Saccharomyces cerevisiae S288C: one gene and its partners. The gene in region 3 interacts genetically with the main gene of each other region. Each region holds a gene or a part of one and is shown on either strand. Other genes may lie near its edges.

What was found.
Region 1: mutations in PFK2 (region 3) and TIR4 together harm fitness more than expected from each alone (negative genetic interaction), as found in Saccharomyces cerevisiae (2 studies listed by BioGRID).
Region 2: mutations in PFK2 (region 3) and ALA1 together harm fitness more than expected from each alone (negative genetic interaction), as found in Saccharomyces cerevisiae (2 studies listed by BioGRID).
Region 4: mutations in PFK2 (region 3) and BCS1 together harm fitness more than expected from each alone (negative genetic interaction), as found in Saccharomyces cerevisiae (2 studies listed by BioGRID).

Annotation. Positions count from the first base shown.
Region 1 is NC_001147.6:342,495-347,772, forward strand, and holds TIR4 (Tir4p), read left to right. Parts: upstream 1-1,840; coding exon 1,841-3,304; downstream 3,305-5,278. Other genes in the region: YOR008C-A (uncharacterized protein), read right to left, coding at 363-587; TIR2 (putative GPI-anchored mannoprotein), read right to left, coding at 3,701-4,456. UniProt on the Saccharomyces cerevisiae protein: Component of the cell wall. Required for anaerobic growth.
Region 2 is NC_001147.6:945,258-951,937, forward strand, and holds ALA1 (alanine--tRNA ligase), read right to left. Parts: upstream 3,853-6,680; coding exon 976-3,852; downstream 1-975. Other genes in the region: MRS2 (Mrs2p), read left to right, coding at 1-751; KRE5 (Kre5p), read left to right, coding at 4,516-6,680. UniProt on the Saccharomyces cerevisiae protein: Catalyzes the attachment of alanine to tRNA(Ala) in a two-step reaction: alanine is first activated by ATP to form Ala-AMP and then transferred to the acceptor end of tRNA(Ala). Also edits incorrectly charged tRNA(Ala) via its editing domain.
Region 3 is NC_001145.3:670,043-676,482, forward strand, and holds PFK2 (6-phosphofructokinase subunit beta), read right to left. Parts: upstream 4,725-6,440; coding exon 1,845-4,724; downstream 1-1,844. Other genes in the region: INP1 (Inp1p), read right to left, coding at 21-1,283; YMR206W (uncharacterized protein), read left to right, coding at 5,854-6,440. UniProt on the Saccharomyces cerevisiae protein: Catalyzes the phosphorylation of D-fructose 6-phosphate to fructose 1,6-bisphosphate by ATP, the first committing step of glycolysis.
Region 4 is NC_001136.10:1,223,427-1,228,341, forward strand, and holds BCS1 (bifunctional AAA family ATPase chaperone/translocase BCS1), read right to left. Parts: upstream 3,111-4,915; coding exon 1,740-3,110; downstream 1-1,739. Other genes in the region: PHO92 (mRNA-binding phosphate metabolism regulator), read right to left, coding at 48-968; WIP1 (Wip1p), read left to right, coding at 1,331-1,600; ARH1 (NADPH-adrenodoxin reductase), read left to right, coding at 3,396-4,877.

The DNA of each region.
Region 1 (5,278 bases), on a different chromosome or scaffold from region 3:
CTCCTCTTGGTTATCTCTCTTTTTCTCTCTCCTTATTAAAAAATTTACGGACAACGAGGAGCTTCTTTCTTGTTTACCTTGATTACCCTTTAAGCAATAACAATATCAATACGAGATTTTCTGTAATGTTAGTGCCTGGTCGAGTTTACTGTATCGTCCAAGAAAACTACACTGCGTTAAATTCTTCCAAATGAGGCTATGATACGCCAAACACTTTTATTTTTCCCCTCCGTTTCTCTCGCTTTCGCTTCGAAAATTACATTATTTTCTTCCCCATGCAGCGTTATTTCCATCTTCAGAGAGGAAAGGCGGAGAAAATTTTTCTTGAGGAAGGAATTCTACGAAAGTAGTCAACTATATTACTAATCGTTTGACATAGAATGCCAAAGTTGCAGCTTTTCCACTAACGTCAAATTTGCGTAACAAGCGCTGCTGTGTAAACTGTCTTGCTTTTTAATAGGACTGACAAAAATTATAAGCGGAGAGATAATATTTAATACTGCCATTGACCTTAGTACCGGTACAGGACAATATGTTTGTATCCTTGGTGTCATAAAGAAGAGAAAAACAAGATAAGATCTCCACATTATTTTGCAGAAGGCGACTTTGGGGGCCGATGATATCTGCTTCCAGAAGTATGTAAAAAAATTACACACCATTAAGTTCTTATGTAAACCGAAGTCTGGAAGAGAGGTGGTGGAATTTCCAGTCTGCTACTAGGCAAAAAACTTGAAACACTTTCATATATGATGTTGTTTTGCCGAGCTATTACAAGACGATTTATCATAAACTACTTGCTTGAGCAGGAACGATTTCACAATCTGTTTAGCAGGTTGTTATGAAGTAGACACGATAAAGTTCTTGAAGAAAGATTGTGGATGGGTTTGCTGAAGCTTAGAACTAAGAAAAGAAACAAGCACGCGCAAGAAAACCGCTACGGCTAACTTCTAAGGTGAGGATATTGTGATTGTTTATGCCTCATATTTTGCGTTTTTATATGTTCTTCCTTCATACGGCGTGCAAATTATCCGCCGGCGAACAGGGTGCTATTCTAAAAGGAACTTTGAAACTGTAAACGCGGTGTACTGAAGGGGTCATCTGAACGAACAATATTTTATGCTTTTGTTAGCCAAACGGTACTGATAAGGGACTGTGAAAAAAAAAAGACAATGTATGGGGTTCACGGTTTCCCAGATTCGTGTGTGTGTAATAATTCGTTTACGGCGCACGACAGACACTTCAGGAAATTTAAAGATCAGAATAGGCATACACTCCGCGCAAGGAAAACAAAAGTTGCTACCGTAACCGGCTCGTACGGGGAAAGCAAGGTCATCTAGTGCTCACTTACGAACTGGCATAATCGAGTTGTGACTTCCAAACTTAACCGTACTCTCACAGCTGATGTGATCCGAAGAAAACCCTGAAGATACAACAATGGCAACCAAAGGCAACTTAAAAAGGCAAACGAAGTACTTTTCAACAATAGCTTACACTGAAACTCGCGGAGAGGCGACGCTGCGCGCGAATTATCAGTAAAAATCTCGTAACAACCCATCTGCCACTTTTAGAAGGAATGGAAATTCTCAAAAAATGACGGAAAATAATAGAACAGGGTTCCTAAACGATGCATTTCTAACAAGTAGGATAGTCCAAAAGGGAGGATGCAAATTCTTTGTTTTCCACGCAGTAAGATATGATCCCAAGCTTTCGAATATAAAAAGGGAAGGATCGCTAGGACAGATCAGTTTTTAGCCCGTTTACTTATCTCGTTCCCTACTCTTGTTCTGATAGAAACCAGCAACAAAAACCTATTCACTCGCTTATTAATACCATAAAAAATATGGCTTACTCTAAAATCACATTACTAGCCGCTCTTGCTGCTATTGCTTACGCTCAAACCCAAGCACAAATCAACGAATTGAACGTTGTTTTAGATGATGTTAAGACCAACATTGCCGACTACATCACCCTATCCTACACTCCAAATTCAGGTTTTTCCTTGGACCAAATGCCAGCTGGTATTATGGATATTGCTGCGCAATTGGTTGCAAATCCAAGTGATGACTCCTACACCACTTTGTACTCTGAAGTGGACTTTTCTGCTGTTGAGCATATGTTGACTATGGTCCCATGGTACTCTTCTAGACTGCTTCCAGAATTAGAAGCAATGGATGCTTCTCTAACTACCTCAAGTTCTGCTGCCACATCTTCAAGTGAAGTTGCTAGCTCTTCTATTGCTTCATCCACTAGCTCTTCTGTTGCACCATCCTCAAGTGAAGTTGTCAGCTCTTCCGTTGCACCATCCTCAAGTGAAGTTGTCAGCTCTTCCGTTGCACCATCCTCAAGTGAAGTTGTCAGCTCTTCCGTTGCTTCATCCTCAAGTGAAGTTGCCAGCTCCTCTGTTGCGCCATCCTCAAGTGAAGTTGTCAGCTCTTCCGTTGCTTCATCCTCAAGTGAAGTTGCCAGCTCCTCTGTTGCGCCATCCTCAAGTGAAGTTGTCAGCTCTTCCGTTGCACCATCCTCAAGTGAAGTTGTCAGCTCTTCCGTTGCTTCATCCTCAAGTGAAGTTGCCAGCTCCTCTGTTGCGCCATCCTCAAGTGAAGTTGTCAGCTCTTCCGTTGCTTCTTCTACAAGCGAAGCTACTAGTTCTTCTGCTGTCACATCTTCCTCCGCTGTTTCCTCTTCGACCGAGTCTGTTAGCTCTTCCTCTGTCAGTTCTTCCTCAGCCGTTTCCTCTTCTGAAGCTGTCAGTTCCTCTCCAGTTTCCTCAGTTGTTTCATCTTCGGCCGGACCTGCTAGCTCAAGCGTTGCTCCTTACAACTCAACCATTGCTAGCTCTTCTTCCACTGCCCAGACTTCTATCTCGACCATTGCTCCTTACAACTCCACAACCACCACCACCCCAGCTAGTTCTGCTTCCAGCGTTATTATCTCAACCAGAAACGGTACCACTGTTACTGAAACTGACAACACTCTTGTCACCAAAGAAACCACTGTCTGTGACTACTCTTCAACATCTGCCGTTCCAGCTTCCACCACCGGTTACAACAATTCTACTAAGGTTTCAACCGCTACTATCTGCAGTACATGCAAAGAAGGTACCTCTACTGCAACTGACTTCTCTACACTAAAGACTACAGTTACCGTATGTGACTCCGCCTGTCAAGCTAAGAAGTCTGCTACCGTTGTTAGCGTTCAATCTAAAACTACCGGTATCGTTGAACAAACCGAAAACGGTGCTGCCAAGGCTGTTATCGGTATGGGTGCCGGTGCTTTAGCTGCTGTTGCCGCCATGCTACTATGATTTTAGTACGTGTCGAAAATGTTCGTTCCGCTTATGATTATATTATTATTTCAACTTACCAGTTAATGCTTAACTTTTAAACTGTCATATGTACTTCTCTGTATTATATAAAAACTGACAACTGGCCTTTTCTATTGTTGATTTCTTTCATCCATCGTTAAATATTTTCAGAATGTGGGCAGGAAGACATGCATGTTTGAAGGTGCCTATCCTAGCATCATCATAAAAGAAAACGGTAAATCATTTCCGTTTTCAAAACGTACACTACAGCCTCCAGTTGATGAAATCAGTTCTCACAATAATTCGAGGTTTAAAAGAAACAGTAAAATTTAAAAAAAACTATTCAATAGATAAATTGGTATATACGAACATTAAAAATTCCATTTAAAAATGAGATTATAATAACATGGCGGCAGCGGCCATGACACCAGCACCCATACCGATGACAGCCTTGGCAGCACCGTTTTCAGTTTGTTCGGAAACAGTGCTAGTGGCTTGAACTTGACCATCACTGATTTGAGAAATGGCGGAGGCTTTGGTGGAAGAAGCAACAGCTGAAGAAACAGCAGAGGAAGAAGCCTTAGTGGAAGAGGCAGCCTTGGTAGAGGAAGCGACGGTGGAAGAGGTAGCCTCACTGGAAGAAGCGACAGCAGAAGAAGTAGCAGCAGAAGAAGAAGCTTCACTGGAAGAAGCGACGGCAGAAGAAGTAGCTTCACTGGAGGAAGCGACGGCAGAAGAAGTAGTTTCACTGGAGGAAGCAACAGCGGAAGAAGTAGCAGCAGAAGAAGCTTCAGTAGAAGAGGCAGCGGTGGTAGAAGTTCCTAACAAGGATTCCAATTCTGGTAGAAGCCTGGAAGAATACCATGGAACCATGGTCAACATCTTGCTAACAGCAGCAAAGTCAACCTCAGAGTACAAAGTAGTGTAGGAGTCATCAGTGGCGGAAGCCAAAGCTAAACCGATGTCTAAAACACCAGATGGCAGACTGCTTAAGGAAAATCCAGATGAAGAATCTTCAGCCAAACTAATATATTCTTGCAAGTTGGACTTAACGTCATTCAAAATAACGTTCAATTCGTCAATTTCTTCCTGAGTTTGGGCAGAAGCCAAAGCAGCGATAGCAGCTAATAAAGCGATCTTGATGTAAGCCATTTTTTTGTTATAGTTGAAGCGAGTGTACGAGTGTGTTTTGTATTATTGTGCTGATAATGGCTAAACTGGAAAAGAAGATGATATGTGAGAGCTCTCATTGTTCGAATTTCGTTAACTACTTATATATTATTTTCCGTAGTTACGAAAGTTGAACATTACTTTGTTGTTTTCTTGCTTACTCGTTTACTCACATGATGCTCAGCTATTAAGATAGTTCAGTAGAACATCTTACACTAAACTTTGCACCACAATGTTGATGGTTGCTTTGGGAGATCATTACGGAAAAAAAACTCTTGGCTTTCAAGGATTCCCTGCGACCTAACTCTGCACTCCTTCTGCAAGGTACTGTTTATTTTTTTCGTGTGTCCTTTACGAGGAACGAATAAAGGCTTGAAAGGTAGTTTTAAAGATGAACTTCTTCTTTTCTTTCTTTGCCTATGATTCCTCCAGGGTTTTCTTGCCTTCTACTTTTGGACAGAAATGTCTTTTTTGGGAAATGTGAGTCTCGTTTGGGAATCTTGGCCGGCCAAGATTTTATAAAGATGTTTCTGTAGGCAACGCGCTGCTCTAAGCACCGTGGGGAGGCCATGAAATATGATTGCGCGTAGTTCCCCAACGTTACGTTTATTTTTTTCTGGGCATAAAAAAAGCCAAGACATTCCCCACTGCTTTCCTACAGGCTCTCTATTGTGTATACTTTGCGCTATTGTGTGCTTTGTTGTTGGTCCGAAGATCGCATAAGAGGCACGCCTCTTATCAATTTCTTTATAGGCGGCTACCGCCAGTGGAGTAAAATTCACGCCTTTTTTGTCCACTCCTTTT
Region 2 (6,680 bases), on a different chromosome or scaffold from region 3:
AGATCTTACGCTTTTTTACCAAAAAACTTTATTGATTAGAGATCTATTAGATGAACTATTAGAAAACGACGATGATTTAGCAAACATGTACTTGACAGTTAAGAAGTCTCCTAAGGACAATTTTTCGGACTTGGAAATGCTTATAGAGACGTACTACACCCAATGTGATGAATACGTTCAGCAATCAGAATCTTTGATTCAGGATATCAAATCTACTGAAGAAATTGTCAACATCATATTGGACGCAAATAGAAATTCCTTAATGTTGTTGGAGTTGAAAGTTACCATCTACACGTTGGGATTCACAGTAGCATCTGTTCTGCCGGCATTCTATGGTATGAATTTAAAGAATTTCATCGAGGAGAGTGAATGGGGGTTTACTTCAGTGGCGGTATTTTCTATTGTTTCTGCCCTTTATATCACCAAGAAAAATTTTAATTCTTTAAGATCCGTGACAAAGATGACCATGTATCCAAACTCACCCGCAAACTCCAGTGTGTATCCTAAAACATCAGCGTCTATTGCCCTGACAAATAAACTAAAGCGAAGGCGGAAGTGGTGGAAATCAACCAAGCAGCGGTTGGGAGTGCTACTTTATGGCAGCAGCTACACTAATAAGGCTAACCTGTCGAATAATAAGATTAATAAAGGTTTTTCAAAGGTGAAGAAATTTAACATGGAGAATGATATTAAGAACAAGCAGAACAGAGATATGATTTGGAAATGGTTGATAGAAGACAAGAAAAATTGAAAGGCGATTATCATGATAAACTATACAATATTATTAGCATAAACCTGTATATATACATATGTAAGAAAAAAGGGTATTTAAAACTCTTTTTAACAGCAAATCTTTTGTCCTTGTAAAAACATAAATAATTAAACTAAGACTAATTATACAATGACACTTTTTTATTAAGAGCAAAATAAACAAAAAGAACTCCTATGCATTATTTTTCGTTTTATTTTAACTTCTTAAATGGAAAGCTTCTCCTTGAACAAACTTTCCAAATCATCAACTGCATCCTTTATAGCGGCTGGTTTATCACCCATACCTTGGAAAACATTACCTTTACCACCAGCCTTACCGCCGATGATACTGGACACCTTTTTGGCAAGCGCAGAACCATCAATACCCTTGGCTAAAGCAGCATTGGAGATGTAACAACCGTGAGCAACACGACCTTCAGGGTCATTACCTGCCAATAAATAGATTGACTTGTCTTTGACAGAATCATTGGATTTCATGTAGTTGATCGCTTCAGTGATAGCTTTAGCATTTGGAGAAATATCAATGAATTTAACTAGGTATGGAGCATTCTCATTGGTTTCGAAAAATGTCTTCACTTCATCAAGAGTTTGTTTGTTTTCTTTTTTGGCCCTTGACTTAACTTCATCCTTCACTGCTTTTTCAATTTTGTTAAATTTCTGCTTCAGTTCATTTTTTGTGATAACAGAAATTGAAAGTTGACCAAGTTTGACACCAAGTTCCTTCAACTTCTTTTCTTTGATTGGAGAGAACGGCAGCTTGTCTGCAGCATCCAAATCAGCAGCAAACTGTTCAGCCAATCTTTGAGCTTCAAAGGCTTCAGTTCCAGTAACAGCAACAATTCTTCTGATACCCTTTGCAATACCGCTCTCTTCTAAAATGACGAAGTATTTAATATCGCCTGTCTTGTTGACATGGGTACCACCGCAAAATTCAATAGAATACTTGGTCCACTCTTCGTTAGCTGGGTTGGCCAACAATTCTTCGATTGGCTTACCAACAGAAACTACACGAACTGGATCTGGGTAAGTCTCACCAAAGACAGCACGAACACCATCAATGGATTTGGCCAAGTCCAATGGAATTTCCTTGTAAAACACTTGTAAGTTTTCTTTAATTTGCTCATTACAGATATCTTCAACTTTTTTCAATTCTTCATTTGACACAGCCTTTTTATGAGAGAAATCGAATCTCAATTTTTCTGGGGCAACCAAAGAACCCTTTTGATCGACATCATTACCCAAAGTTTCCTTCAGAGCAAAGTTTAAGATATGTGTACCAGTATGATTGTTCTTAATAGGGAAACGACGTAGTTCATCGAATGAAGCGATAATCTTGTCACCGACAGACAACTTACCTTCTTCTAAAGACCCGGTGTGGAAAACAAAACCGTTATACAATTGAACATTTTCAACATTAAACTCAGCAGCGTCATCAATAACAATTTTACCAGTGTCATATTCTTGACCACCTTGTTCGGCGTAGAAACATGTTTTATCCAAAATAATACCGTACTTCTTACCTGGTTCAGTGATCTCATCAACAAAGTTGGTACCGTCATGCAGTTTCAAAATGGTACCTTCGACGTTGGCGCTGCCGTATTTGAATTCATCATTAGTCTTGGGCACCTTAGCATCGTTCAACTCGGATAATTCATGGACGTTTAACTTAATCAAATCACTTTGGTCCTTCTTACCACCTCTTTTGGATGCTTCGTATGACTCTTGTTTGGCCTTTTCGAAACCGGGTCCATCAATCTTCAAGCCTTGTTCTTCAGCCATCAATTCAGTCAAGTCGACTGGGAAACCATAAGTGTCGTAAAGTCTCCAAACTTGTTTACCGTCTAAAGTCTTAGATTCAGTCTTAGAAGCAGCAGAAGCATATTTTTCAAATAGTCTTTCACCACGATCCAAGGTCTTAGCGAAAGAAGCTTCTTCTTCATCCAAGATTTCAAAGAGGAATGCAGGATCCTTGGCTAATTCGGGAAAGATATCTTGAACCTGAGAAATTAAAGTTGGAGCCAAAGTGGAGAAAAAGTTACCGATTGGGTAATTCATGTATTTACGGGCGTAACGGGCACCTCTTCTTAGAATGCGTCTCAAAACATATCCTCTACCTTCATTGTTTGGAACGCCACCGTCAGCTAAGGCAAAAGTCAATGTACGGACATGATCAGCTAAAACTCTGTAGGCAGTATCGATACCGTCCTTGTCATTCTCACCAAAATTGCCAGAATATGGTCTAACTGAAGTGATTTCTTGGATACGCTCGAACAAAGGTGTGAAAACATCGGTATCATAGTTAGATCTAACATCTTGCAGAACAGAAACCAATCTTTCGAACCCCATACCTGTGTCGATATGCTTGGCAGGTAAAGGCTTCAAAGACCCGTCTTGTTCTCTGTTGAATTGAATGAAAACCAAATTCCAAACTTCCAAGACATCAGGGTCGTCCATATTAACCAAGGAAGCAGCATTTCTACCACCTATTCTATCGTAGTGAATTTCAGAACAAGGACCACATGGGCCTTGGTCACCCATTTCCCAAAAGTTGTCCTTTGCATTACCAGGTAATATATGGTCATCGGGAACACCAACATTTTTCCATAGTTCACGGGCTTCAGTATCAGGTTCCAAGCCTAACTTTTCATCACCTTCAAAATAGGTAACGTATAATCTATCCTTTGGAATGCCGTATACTTCAGTCAACAAAGTCCATGAGTAAGTAATAGCTTCCTTCTTGAAATAGTCGCCAAACGACCAGTTACCCAGCATTTCAAAAAAGGTATGATGATAAGAATCCTTACCGACATCTTCTAAATCGTTGTGTTTACCACCAGCTCTGATACACTTTTGAGAGTTGTAAGCCCTTTTCAAGGTGTAGAAATCGGAAGCTGGATCGACAGTACCTAAAAAGATAGGCTTGTATTGGTTCATACCGGCATTAGCGAAAAGTAAAGTTGGATCATCAAATGGAACTACTGGAGAGGATTTGACAAACTTGTGTTCTTTAGATTTGAAATAGTCTAGAAAGGTATTACGGACATTAGTAGCGGTCCATTTTTGCTTATCACCGATCGTCATTATGGTTCTAGTTGATGTAGTTAATTGCTTCTTGAAAGAAAGAGTCAAGTTCCTTAATCCGGTAGTTGACGTCGTCTTGTCTTAAATAAGAAGATGTTGGAAGCACGCCTTTTTTGTAATTCTATTTAAAAAAAACCGACTTTGTTCAATCAAACTGCTTTCATATCTGATAGCAGTCGCCAACTGCGTTTTTCTTGTTTTACTCATCATCCATCGAGCGGATGAAAAAAAAGAGAAAAAAGAAACGGCCAATCCGTTGATCATGATTAAATAAAATATAGGGTTCTGAATTGTTAGGTTTAATCTGCAAATTATTCAGGTCATCGTTGACTTTTTTGCAGGGCACTAAAAACCGCTAACATAGGACGGTATATTGCTGATTTTAGACTTAACTTCTTGGTGTAGTCGTCTCTGAACATGGCATGATACAGCTTTGGTGGGTCACTAGAACAATTTGAATCTTGCTCAGCACGCTCTGTCTTACGTATATATCCAATTTCAGTTGATTCGAAAGACATGAAAGATTATTAATGTGTGCATTACCCGGATTGTCAATAACTCATATAGTTAGTATACTAATTAACTAACTATATAACGTGGCATATTAAAGATTAATTGTCCTGGTAGAATATAGACGTATCAGTGTGAGTGCCTCTGTTGATTATGAGACTACTTGCGTTGGTATTGTTATTGTTGTGTGCGCCGCTTCGTGCATGGACTTATAGCTTACGATATGGCATACCCGAATCTGCTCAGGTCTGGTCTATTTTAGTTCATTTACTGGGCGATGTTGATAATCAGCTGTTAACTAATTTATATCCTTTGGTTACCGGTTTGGATGACGAGATTGATATTCAAGAAAATCTTGTGGCGCTAACTTCCAATGTATTAAGGGAGCGATACGATAAAGAGGATGTGGCTGATTTATTGGAACTGTATGCTAGTCTTTACCCTATGGGTATGATACAGCACGATATCAGTTCCAATGCAGAACAAGACGATGCAAATAGTAGCTATTTCGTTTTGAATGGTAATAGGTACGAAAAGCCCGACGACGTGTTCTACTTGAAATCTAAGGATTTAACAATTCAACAGAAAGTCCCAGATGTTGATGTTATACAACCTTACGATGTTGTCATTGGTACTAACTCAGAAGCGCCGATATTGATCTTGTACGGTTGTCCTACCGTTATTGACTCCGACTTCGAAGAATTCAATAGGAATTTATTTATGGAAGCAATGAATGGAGAGGGAAAATTTAGATTTATTTGGAGATCCACATGTTCCCTTGATGGGAAAAGCGTGGAGTATCCCTTAACTCATCCGCTTGAAATTACTTTACAAAATGGTTCTAGAATGAGCTCCATACCTCAATTAAAAAAAATACTATATACTGTACCCAAAGAAATATTGGTTGGAGCAGACAACGATGATCAGCTCCATGATCTAGAACCAGAAGAATTACGTGAACTTGATTTGAGAGTAACATCGTTAATCTCAGAATTTTACCAATATAAAAAGGATATCACAGCCACTCTAAATTTCACCAAAAGTATTGTTAACAACTTTCCACTAATCTCTAAACAACTGATTAAGGTTTCATCTGTTAACAAGGATATAATAACAAGTAATGAAGAACTCAATAGTAAAGGCTTCGATTACAACATGCTAGGTCTCTATATTAATGGACAGAATTGGAAAATTACCTCACTGACTCCGTACAATTTGCTTACTGCTTTAAAAACTGAATACCAAAGTTTACTGAAAATTACGAACCTTTTGCAAGAACTCGAGCCATCGAAATGCATACTAGATTCCAAGTTTTTACTCAATAAGTTTTCTCAATTTTCATTGGGGAAGTTGCAAAACTTACAACCAATCAAAATGGATCTCCACACAATTCCAGGGTTCTCAGAATCAGTAATATACTTCAATGATATCGAAAGCGACCCGCAATATGACGAATTAGTAAATAGTGTTCAAGCATTTTTTGATAAATCGAAATTCGGAGAGTTGCCTGAAATAAAGCAAAACTGGTCAGAGATCATATTCGTTATAGATTTCGCCCGTTTAGAAGATAGTGAGGTGAAGGAGGCATTGGGTGGGTTGGTTCGTGCCGTTAATGTTGTCTCCCAGGGATATCCGCAAAGAGTCGGACTATTGCCATTTAGTTCAGATAGTGACAAGTCCGTTGTTAATAAAATTTACGAGCTGAAGAACTCAACTGACAATTTAACAGAATTAAAAAGTTTTTTGGAGACAATGCTGCTTGCAGATGGCCTTTCCGCGAATGCAAAACATTCAAAACACATACCAGTTCCAGATGTTTTCCATCTACTTGATGAACTTCAAATTGACGAAACATCAATTATAATCAATGGAGAGATTTACCCATTTAGAAAAAATGCTTGGAATTATTTAATTGCAAAAGTTATCAAAAAGGACACTGAATTTATTCGTAAAGAATTGAGCAATTCTTCTCCGAAAAACAAACAAATTAGCGTAAGGGACTTATTGCATTACAAATCTGCAAATCTGAGACATAATAAATATACACCAAATTATTTTGCTGATTCGGTATATTCTTCGGTCAACAATACTGCATTGGAAAGCGTATGCTCAGAAAGAATAGGCTACTATACTAAAAATGAAGAATACAATTTATTACACACAATCACATTAGTGGATGATTTTGGCTCTATTCATGCTTTGAAAAGATTGAGAAACTTGTTGCATACTTCCTTTGTTGGTGTTAGGATCAGAATCATTCACGTAGGTGATATTTCTGATATTTGGTATCAATTGCGTGGAAGTCTTTCCCAAAAAGA
Region 3 (6,440 bases):
AGTTATGCTTTGAACTTCATTCAAAGGTCGCCAAGACCAGATATGGATCTCCTCTGAAATCTTCTATGCCTGTCCTGCAGATACGGGGGAGAGTCGATAAAAGGGTATGAACTATATCTTTTGTTTTGCTGTTTCGAATGAATACTTGGGGCTGCTATTGGAATATTCAGTACAGGAGCGGTTCGTCTGATAGCATTTTTGAAAGCTTCATTTATGGAGATTGACACGGCATCGGTAGGGTCGCTCGGATAGAGAAAGCTTGCATTTAGATTAGAGCAAGTGTTCGATATCACGGAGAAGCTATTATCTGTACATCCTTGTTCGTATTCTTCATCCAGCAAGTAATTAAGGTCGTCATCATCATAATTATCATCATCATCATCGTTATCATCATCATTATTAATTATTTCAGTATTGGGGGGCTCTATGTCCGAAGTAGGCGGCAGTTTGAATTTATCGCTCAAAGACTCATTATTCCCAATAGTAGCTCCTTCATTAATATGCGAAAATTGGCAAATTTTGCTAATGACGTTTTCAAAAGCTTTCACACTATTTTCCAACTCTGATTGGGATTGACTAATCAAAGGTAGAAATTCGATTTCCCAGTACCGTTCCGGATTATAAAAGCTAATAAAGTATTTGAAACCTGCGCCATTTAGCCTTGTTATTTGTAGTTTGGGTAGTACTGGATGCACAATATCACCATGTCGTCCTATCGATAAATAGTTTACTACATGCCCATCATGACTACTAGCTTTACTAGATTTTTGAAAGGGCGCTATATTTTCCTTTAACTTATCAAACCCTGTACATATCTGATATATTTCAATAGGTCCTTTTGCCATTAAAGATGTAGGTTTTAACTTAATAGTGTTTTGACTGTCTTGACTTTGCGTATCATTGAAGAATACTCCACTACTTTCAGTGACATTATTTGCGGATACTTGGGAATTTCTACGAATGCAACTGCTATTCGGAATATCATTATGAATGGGAACGAATGAATTCATAACCTGAACATTGCCATAGGTAAACAATGAAAATCTCTGAGTTGATATTCTTTTCCTTTGTGTTCCGGTTTTCTTCGAGGACGTGCCATTTTTTTTGGCTTTAACAGATTTATTTGTATCGTTTGAGTGTTGGGTCGAATCCTGTTTCAACTTTTTATTGTTGCTAAGTTTAAGTGACTGTTTTAAAGTTTGAAACGTAGATTGAGGTTTCTTTTCTTGTTTTGCCGTTAATCTCACGCTATTTTTCTTTGTTTCTCCCCTTGATAAAACCATACCACTTTGTTTAATTTCCTGAGAGTTATCAGACGAAAAATGTAGACCTTGTATCCTTCATAGGTGAAGGAATACTTCCTCCGTAATAAGGTAATTTAAAGTTCATAGTTCATTCACTCTTTTTGTTTACATCTCCGTTCTTCGTGATAAGTTCATAGATAATAAGAGAACAAAGTATTTAACGCACATGTATAAATATTGTATTAAAAGGGTACCTTTATAAATATGAGATCCGAGGGACGTTTATTGGAATTATCTTTTAAATCGTCTATATCACATATTCCAGTATACATAAGTTTTAATTTTAGAAAACGTTTAAATAAACAAAGAGAAAAAAAATAAGACACAAAAAATAACAGTATCTTTATTCTTGACATTCATAAAAATGCATGATAATATTGGTTTCATGGGGTAGTACTTGTATTATTAAAAGAAAGGAACAAAAAATTCATTGTTCAAAAGCTTAGAGATAAAAAAAAAGAATTATAGACACAAAAGAAAAACATGGGTTAACATTAATTGACATTAATAATAGAAAGTGTAATAAAAGGTCATTTTCTTTTAATCAACTCTCTTTCTTCCAACCAAATGGTCAGCAATGAGTCTGGTAGCTTGCCAGTGAATGACCTTTGGCATTCTCATGGAAACTTCAGTTTCATAGTCATACAATTGTCTAATGGAGTTGTAAACGACATGTGAACCCTTAACACCAACGACAGCAGCAGTGTCAGAAATGGTCTTGTCATCAGCGTTGAAGTTTTCTTCGGCAGCACGAGCTTCAGCAATGGCAGCTTGGTTGTCTTTGATGAAGCCGACAGCTTTAATGGCCATTCTAGTGGCTCTTGTTCTATCAATTGGAGATGGCAAACCACCTTGTTGTACATGACCTGGATAAGCTGGCTTAGCGTCAAATCTGCCATCGGCTTCAGCAGTAATAACTTCAGCCAATTTAGTGGCTGATAAAGCCTTAGAAGCGTTTGTACTCTTCAAAATCAATTTACCAAATCTACCTCTACCTTCTGCCTTTTCAAAAGATTGAGCTAAGTATTCAATATCCTCGGACAATTGCTCCAAAGAAATACCTTCTTCTGGGACATAAGAGACTTGAGCACCAACAGCCAAAGAAGCGTAAGTGGCCAAATAGCCTGAGTTACCACCTTGACAATCGACAACGAAGGCTCTACCTCTGGTTGAAGAAGCGGATTGTTTAACAACATCACAGTATTCCATTAGAGCATTCAAAGCGGTATCAGAACCCAAAGAGTATTCAGTACCTGGAACATTGTTAGACAAAGTAGCTGGTATCAAGACCATTGGGATTCTGAAAGCTGGATAACTTTCTCTTGCTCTCTCTAATTGATGTAAAGATTCAAAAGCTTCGAAACCACCAACGATGATCAAACCATCAAATTCGTACTTTTGGAAATAGTAAGCAATCATACCTAGATCTGCTTCTTCTGGAGTGACTCTGTTAGTACCGATTTCAGAACCACCACGGGATTGCCAACCCAACATATCCTTCCAGTTCAAAGAACGAACACTTTCATGTCTTGCCAAACCAGACCAACCATTGTAGATAGCGTATGGTCTGTGACCTTGGGACATACAGTAAGTAGCCATCGAGTAGACGGCAGAGTTGATACCACCAGCTGGAGCACCGACATTAACAATGGCAATCTTCAGTCTCTTGTCCTTTGGTAGCTTTGGTTCGTTGTGGTCAGCAGAGTTGATAGCCATGAAATTGTTTAAATGTTCAATGAACTCAGTGTCTCTTAAAGACATAGCTCTCTTGAAATCCTTAGCTTGAATGGCTTCTGCAACTGCTTTGGTCAACTTGACGGATTCCATTAATGGTTTACGAACAATTTTGTTTTCGTTAACAGCAATCAATGGTGATGGGGTGTCTGGAGTGGATTCCAAAACGGCATTAACGGCCTCAAGACCTTGTAAAGTAGCCAAGATACGGTCGTAAGCAACAGCAGTACCACCTCTTTGAACGTGACCTAAGGTAGTAATTCTTGTATCCAAACCTAATCTGTCAACTAGAACTTTGTGGACGTCGCTTGGAGAAATTGGGGTCAAGTCAGCAGCGATAGCACCTTCTGCAACAACAACAATGGTGGTTCTCTTACCCCTTGATCTGTGCTTGGAGACAATGTCACACATTTGATCTTGCCATTCGCTGGAAGTGGCTGGCTTCTCTGGAATAAAGATATAGTCAGCGGAAGTGGCGATACCAGCTAATAAAGCTAACCAACCACAGTTTCTACCCATAACTTCAACAACGAAAGCTCTTGAGTGAGAGTTGGCAGTGGCTTCAACGTAATCGATGGCCTTACAGATTCTGTCCAAGGCAGAGTAAGCACCAATAGTAGCATCCGTGGTGGACATATCGTTATCAATAGAACCGACAGTACCGCAAATATTCAAATGCTTCATTCTTTCGTATTGTTCGTTGGAAATTCTGTTTGTTTTCAACAATTCCTCGATCAAAGAAGGCCATTCTGATCTAAACAGATCAGCACCAGTCAAAGAACCGTCACCACCACAAACGATCAAAGCATCGACACCGGCCTCAATCAAATGTTGGGCACCCAATAATCTACCTTCGCGCTTCTTGAATTCCATACAACGGGCAGTACCAATGTTGGTACCACCTTCAGCAGACCAACCACGGACGTCTTCCCAGTGGAATTCCTTGATGTATTCTGGACCACCACGAACCAAACCTTCATAACCTTCCATGACAACAAAGGCACGACAACCTTTGAAGATAGCGGAACGCACGATGGCTCTAACGTTAGAGTTCATACCTGGAGCATCACCACCGGAAGTCATGACGGCAATTGCCTTTTGAGGCCTGTTCAATGGCTTTGGCAGAGATGGATAGGTGTCGGTGGTTTTCATACGGTAAGCCAAATCAGTGTAAGAGTGAACTTTAGAGGAAAGACCAGACTCAGCAGAAGCTTCTGGTGCTGGTGGTGGAGTTGGCTTGGTTGAAACTGCGTTCTTAGTAGAAGTAACACCAACAACGTTACCTAATGGGTCCAAAGTGTACAACTGCATTGGAAATAGTTCTGTTGGGTAGCCTTGAAGAGGAGCGTTCATAGCATTTAGAGTGTCCTTGACTGCCAAGATGTCGGAAGTGTTAAATACCAAGGATTGGGTGGCATGTGATCTCCAGTCTTGAGTCTTGGTAATACTGTTCAATTCCTTCAAATGAGCCTCAACATTTTTATTGATTTTTTCATCAGGACGTAGAAGGATCTTCAAAGAGATGGAATCGTTAGACAATAAAGTGGAGTTTTCATCTGGAGAAGAGCGGTTTTCTAATGACAAAAACTTGGTGTAAAAATCTATGGCAGCTTTATAAGATTGAACGGAATATGCAGTGACGGTACAATAAGAAGTACCATTCACAAAAGGAGTAGTAACAGTCATTGCGTATGGTTAGTTCTTGGCCAATGCTAAACTAGTCTCTAAATCTAGTTCTATTGTTCAAATGAGGTATAAGAAAGGCTTTTAAGCAAGAAGAAGGAAAAAAAAAAAAAAAAAGGAATTTTCTTCTTTATGAAACCGAAGATAAGAAGCTTTTAATCAAGGAAGTAATAAATAAAGGACAAAAAGAAGAAAAAAATATTATTGTTTTATAAAATGCAAGTAGGAAAAATAAGAATGAGAGCGGATAAAAAAAAGGCAGGAAAAAAAACAACAACATGAAGCGAGAGACTTCATTGCGATGTAATAAATGAATGGTAGATAAAGACCGGATGGAAAAAAAGGCCGATTTAACATGGCAAACAAAAGATTACATACGTACTGATCAAATTGATCAATTCAATATCTCTGTTTTCGTTTTTAACATTCAACTACCGTCATAGCGTTATACGTAGGAAAAAAAAACCGCAATCACGTAACCGTGGCTTCCACTAATCGGCTCTTGTGCCGTCAGATTCCGGATGTACGGGTGGACGCCATTTGGAACGAAAAAAAGAAATTGAAAAAAGTGGAAGCTAGAAATCACTGTCTTACCCTGGACGGTATCGTATATAATGACTCCGGTTTTTTTTTCTCTACCCCCTTGCCTCTTACCCCGGATTTTACCCAACTTTATCTTAATCTTCGTTTTCCTTTTAGCGTGGAGATGGTAAACGCTAGCGGTAACGTTAACGTTGCAAAGGGGGTATGCGGGACTGGCTGAAACGGGCGATGATACGATGCAACAAAGCAGCAGAGAATGGCTATGAATAGTCTTTACACCCACAGTTTTTCGTGTGGCAGTTACTATATATTAGTAGGATATTCGATCTATATAGATGGTAGTACTTACAATGCTGTTCTTGGGTTTTTGCGGATCTTCTTTCTTTTTTGTAGTTTTATTTTATGTCTTACTTCTTATTTCCTTCTTACTTCCTCATTGGTTAAGGCTCACGTTGATTGCAATAACAAAGAAGTATATACTGTAGCATAGCTCTTCATATCATTTTTGCCGTGCATTCGAAGACTATATATATATATGCATATTGTCTGACCTTTCGCCTTAAAGTAAAGAAGACAACAGAATATAACCATGCTGAGTAGCAGTAGCAATAGACCCATATCTGCCCATCTAACCATCCATTACAAGGCTATTCAGGAGGAAGAGGGGGAGGATATGAGAAGCGGTGCCGGAAGTGGTGGCCATCATGACGACTATTTTCTGGAGAGTAACAGATCTCCCACTCCTAATAAGAAACATGAGTTCATTAAAACGGTGCTCAATATCAACGATAACGACTCTGAATTTTCGGAATCGTGCTCACCAAGAGAGAAGTTACATAACGAGGGGGCTTGTAATACAGACCTGTTCGGGGACTTCATGTCTAAAAGACAACAGAGGCTGTCTAATTCTATGAACATTTACGACCTTTATCAGTGTGTACATAACCTGTCGCCTAGCAACAACAACCATCAGTTCATAGCAAGAAGGTTCAGCGATTCTCATATTCCCTCCTTGCATCACCGCCAGCAGCAACAGAAGGTAACAACAAAAAACTTTGTACAGCCCACGAAGGACATTCAAAGGATCGCCTCGTACGCTGCGGATTCAGACCAGAGAGTCAAGTATTTACCAAACTATCATCAGTCTGCTCCTTCTACTGCACTGTCTGCGGCTGA
Region 4 (4,915 bases), on a different chromosome or scaffold from region 3:
TACTAATAATAAATGAGAATAAAATGTTGATAAATGAGGGATAAGGTCTATTCATACGTCTCATCCAAGAAGGAGAAAATATCAGAATCTTGAGTTTTAAATAGATTAATTATTGAAATTCCAATCGAATATGGAATTTCTTGAGTATCTCTGGAATGTGTTATCGGTTTCATTTCATTGGATGGTATCAAAAACCTTTTTAACGATCTGTTATTTATATCACGCACGATCACCCATCTTACTTTAAAGGCTTTGCCATATTTTTGTTCATCTTCCCATATACTGGTGTCCAAATCCATTTTCAAATCCGATACCATTTCTGCAACGCCACAGAATCTTCCTGATGTGTTGATTGAAAAAAATAAAAACACTTTGGCTCCCGAATTAAGCTTTTTATATGCCTCAGATAGCCTTTTGTTGCCGAAATGAGTAGACGACCAAATTCCGTTGTAAAACGACCTTTTGACATGCTTCAAAGACGAGGACTTTATTACAAAAAATCTTGAGTTTTCTGGAATATTTAACCAAGGGGGAATAATTGCAGCACTTTTTCTTTTATTAATTTCATTGAAAGTTTGTTCTTTAGTTGACTGCTGCAAATACCTTGGTTTGGATAAATATTCCCTGTAATAATTATTATTGCTATTATCAGATTGGTTGTAGTCTCTAGAAAAGGAGAAATGCCGATTTAAATTTGAGCTTGTCAATGGAATACTATTAATCTGGTGTGTATAGTTTTCATGAGTGATCTCTTCTTTATTTTCTTTCTTGTTAATATCATTTAAAGCTGTGACATCGTTCTTTAGCTTTGGGTTTGTTTGTACTTCAATATGAGTTCTCTCCAAGGAATGGATCAACCCATCTAGTTCTCTTAAAGAGTCTTCAATTGTCCTGTCATTTCTCTTATTTTCTTTCCATTCAGAGTTGAAGTAAAAATTTGGGGGACCTGTAGACCAGATTTGATTCATTTTTAGAGCACAACGCAATACTTACGTCACACCAGCCGTAGACGATATCTTCCTTTCTTAACGAAATAGTAACAGAGGACACAATCTGAAAACTTCTTTTGCGATTCATAACCAACAGAAAATTTTGGAGGAAAACAATGTAGCTGTATAAATATATATATATATATATGTATGTATACTTATTTATTTATATATATATCACAAAAGGCTACCAAAAAGATTAGCCGCCGAGGTACATCGTGAGGAGTGATATTCTGGGGAAACGGGTAGCGATTTCGTGTCTATTTTCGGTCACCAAGTCAACGTTACTTACTGTCGTATAACCAAAGTACAACAATAGCAACAGTTCCTAACATTCTTCCATGGATACGGAAGCATTGGCCAATTATTTGCTACGGCAGCTTAGTTTAGATGCGGAGGAGAATAAGCTAGAAGATCTTCTCCAACGGCAAAATGAAGATCAAGAGTCTAGTCAAGAATATAACAAGAAATTATTATTGGCATGTGGATTTCAGGCCATTTTAAGAAAAATTCTGCTGGATGCTAGAACAAGGGCAACTGCAGAAGGTTTGAGGGAAGTATATCCTTATCATATTGAAGCTGCAACGCAGGCTTTTCTGGATAGTCAATGAAGGGGTATTTTTAAGCCTCTTTATCATATACTCTTTTGTTCGTAATAGCAAATAACTCGGTCTTATTAACGAGAAAAAGTTAAAGCATCTTCTGAATTTTTATTATATACAAGTTATGTAGTAAGGCGCCACTTAGCACCTAGAAAATATGATTAGCGTTCCGTAAGCTGGAGACCATTTTCAACGCATCGTGTGGTGCATCTTTATTCATAACGAAAAGTCCTTGCAACTGGGCGGTACTTACGGTGATATCCAATTCTTTAACACTATTTACAAACTTTTTGCATATATCAGTCTCACCTGGGTAAAATTTCATAAACATTTTTTCTACCTGGTATGGAGTTGCGTTACCAACGAAGACTTTGTAGTCAATACGACCTGGTCTCATTATAGCCGCGTCTAGCTTTTCAGGATGATTGGTAGTCATGAATGTAATAGTTTCTTCAGAAGATGTGACGCCATCCAGGGCATTCAGTAAACCGCTAAATGTTACGCTAGAATGAAAACCTTGTTCACCAGTTTGACTTCTTTTGTTGAACGCCGCGTCAATATCTTCCAGTAATAGTATGCTCCTTTCTGGCATGTTATTCATTAAGTGGTTTAATCTGTCATCTGTTAAATTATTTTCGGAGAGGTTTAAAATACAAATGTTGTAGTCTAATTCGCCCGCTAAAGCCTGGATAAAGCTAGTCTTACCAGATCCGGGAGGGCCATAGAGTAAATATCCCCTGCGATATGGGATACCCCTGTCAGAGTACCATTTGCCGTTCTTCATAAAATCATAAACGTCATCGAGAATACCCTCTTTGATGCCACTGTCCAAAATGACGGAGGGCAGCATCCTTTTAGCTTTTGGTTGACCAAACTTTCTCCATTCAGGGCCGAAAGAAGTGTAAATAACAGTCTTGCCCTCAGTAGTCTTCAGGGCTATGTCTTTAGCCTCGTTCAAAATGTCATCGAACAAATGTTTGTCACGGTACAGTGTAGTTAAGGTTACGGTCTCAAATGGTGACCCGTTTGCGATATCTATCATTTTTGCGGACCTTTCTCTTTTAATCAGGATAAAAGCACCCTTATAACGAATCCAATGATTTCCCGGACCCGGAACCAGCGAAAATTTTGTACTAACTGATCCATTGTCATGTTGTATGTAGTTTGTCCTAACGGATAAGTGTCTAGATACCCTTTGAGGATGTTTGGCCATCCATGTTAGAAACCAGGCGTATGATTTGTCCTTCGACTGAATCTCTAAGTCGACAATCATTTGTCGGTATAGGACCCTGCTGGCTTTTATTATACCGGATCTAGCTACAGCTAAACCTGTACCAAGGATCATAAGACCACCGCCGGCGGCAAAATAGGGATTGTTTGACATAGCATCGCCAACTAGTTTTGAAAGTTTTTCCCGGACTGAGTCATTACCAGTTTCATTTGTTGGCGGAGTAATTACACCACTCAGATTTGGAGTAGCCTGTTTATCATATTGTATGTCAATCGGCTTATCCGACATGGTAGATTGAGGGCACACTTCATTTTTTTTCAAATCGTCCCTTGGTACGTCTACTGCGTTGCAAATATAGAAGAGTGGAAATCTTTACTTATACTATTTACATCGATTTTTCGGCACTCTTTAAGGGTAACTCAATCGAGATATAATTCGAAGAGCAGTAAACTATAGCTCGAACGTAACAGAAAGTTTTTTGCTTGCTATAGTTCTTGGCCACAACGCCTCATTCATTCATTTAGAAAGTTTCTCACTCTTTCTTCTTCCTTTTTTAGCTCATTACTTGTGAAAATGAGCTTTGTTCAAATAAGGCACATTTCTTCACAAATAAACCGTAAGACTGTATCCATTGTTGGATCGGGGCCTTCCGGCTTTTATACAGCGTACCATTTACTCAAGAAGTCACCGATTCCATTAAATGTTACTATATGGGAAAAGTTACCTGTTCCTTTTGGTTTAAGTAGATATGGTGTGGCACCTGATCATCCAGAAGTCAAAAATTGTGAAGAAACGTTTACCACATGTGCAGAAGAGTTTTCTTCCCCTACAAACCAAAAGCATAAATTTTCCTTTGTTGGTGGTATAACCATTGGAAAAGAAATATTGTTGAAGGAATTGCTGGATAATCAAGATGCTGTTATTTTAAGTTATGGTTGTACAGGGGACAGAAAGCTGAATATCCCTGGCGAACTCGGAACAAAAGGGGTGTTTAGCAGTAGAGAATTTGTCAATTGGTACAATGGTCATCCTGATTTCGCAAAGGATAAGCGATTTACCGATTTTGACTGGAGCAAAGTTTCGAAAGTTGGTATTATAGGAAACGGTAACGTTGCTCTTGATATTACGCGTGTACTTATTTCTAATCAAATTGATGAAATATGGGAAAATACGGACATCTCATCTCTTGCACTAAATTTGCTAAGAAGGGCACCTGTAAAGGACGTTAAGCTAATTGCACGAAGGGATTTCGTTCATTCCAAATTCACCAACAAAGAATTAAGAGAACTATGGGAGTTAGAAAAGTATGGCATACGTGGCCGTATTGATCCTAAATTTTTCCAGAAAGAAATGTTTGACCCATCTAAGTACGATCGTGCATTCAATAGACGAGTAGAGATGTGTAGTGAGTATCTCAAGCCATTTAATGAACGTTCGAAGAAAAACTATAAAAAGGCTCCTCCTCCAAGCAGCGGATATGACAAATTCTGGGAGTTAGATTATTTGAAGACTCCCTTGAAAATTAATAGAGACGATTTTGGTGCAATCAACTCTTTGAGTTTATGTAACAATCGATTAAATGAAGATAACAGTTTGCAACCCTTGAAGGACGTCAATAATATTATGACATATAAAGTGGATTTGCTGATTACTTCATTGGGATATGCAGGCGTTCCCATGCCTGAATTCTCTAAGTTGTCTATTGGATTTGACAAAGATCATATAGCTAATAAACAGGGTCGTGTTTTAACTTCCAGCGGAGAAATATTCCCACATTTATATGCATCTGGTTGGATCCGTAAGGGCAGCCAGGGCGTTATTGCCTCGACAATGCAAGATGCTTTTGAAGTTGGAGACAGAGTAATACAAGACTTGGTGGTCAGCGGAGCGCTATCCTTAGAGAATTCTATCGACCTCTCTAATATCAAGCACACCACATGGAAGGATTGGGAAAGAATCAACAAGAAGGAATTGCTTCGGGGCAAAAAGGAACACAAAACTCGGTCAAAGTTTTTAACTTTTGAAGAGTTGTGGAACGGTGTAGAAGGCATATAAAATAGATCGTTAATATATTTCTAACATCTTCTTGTAAA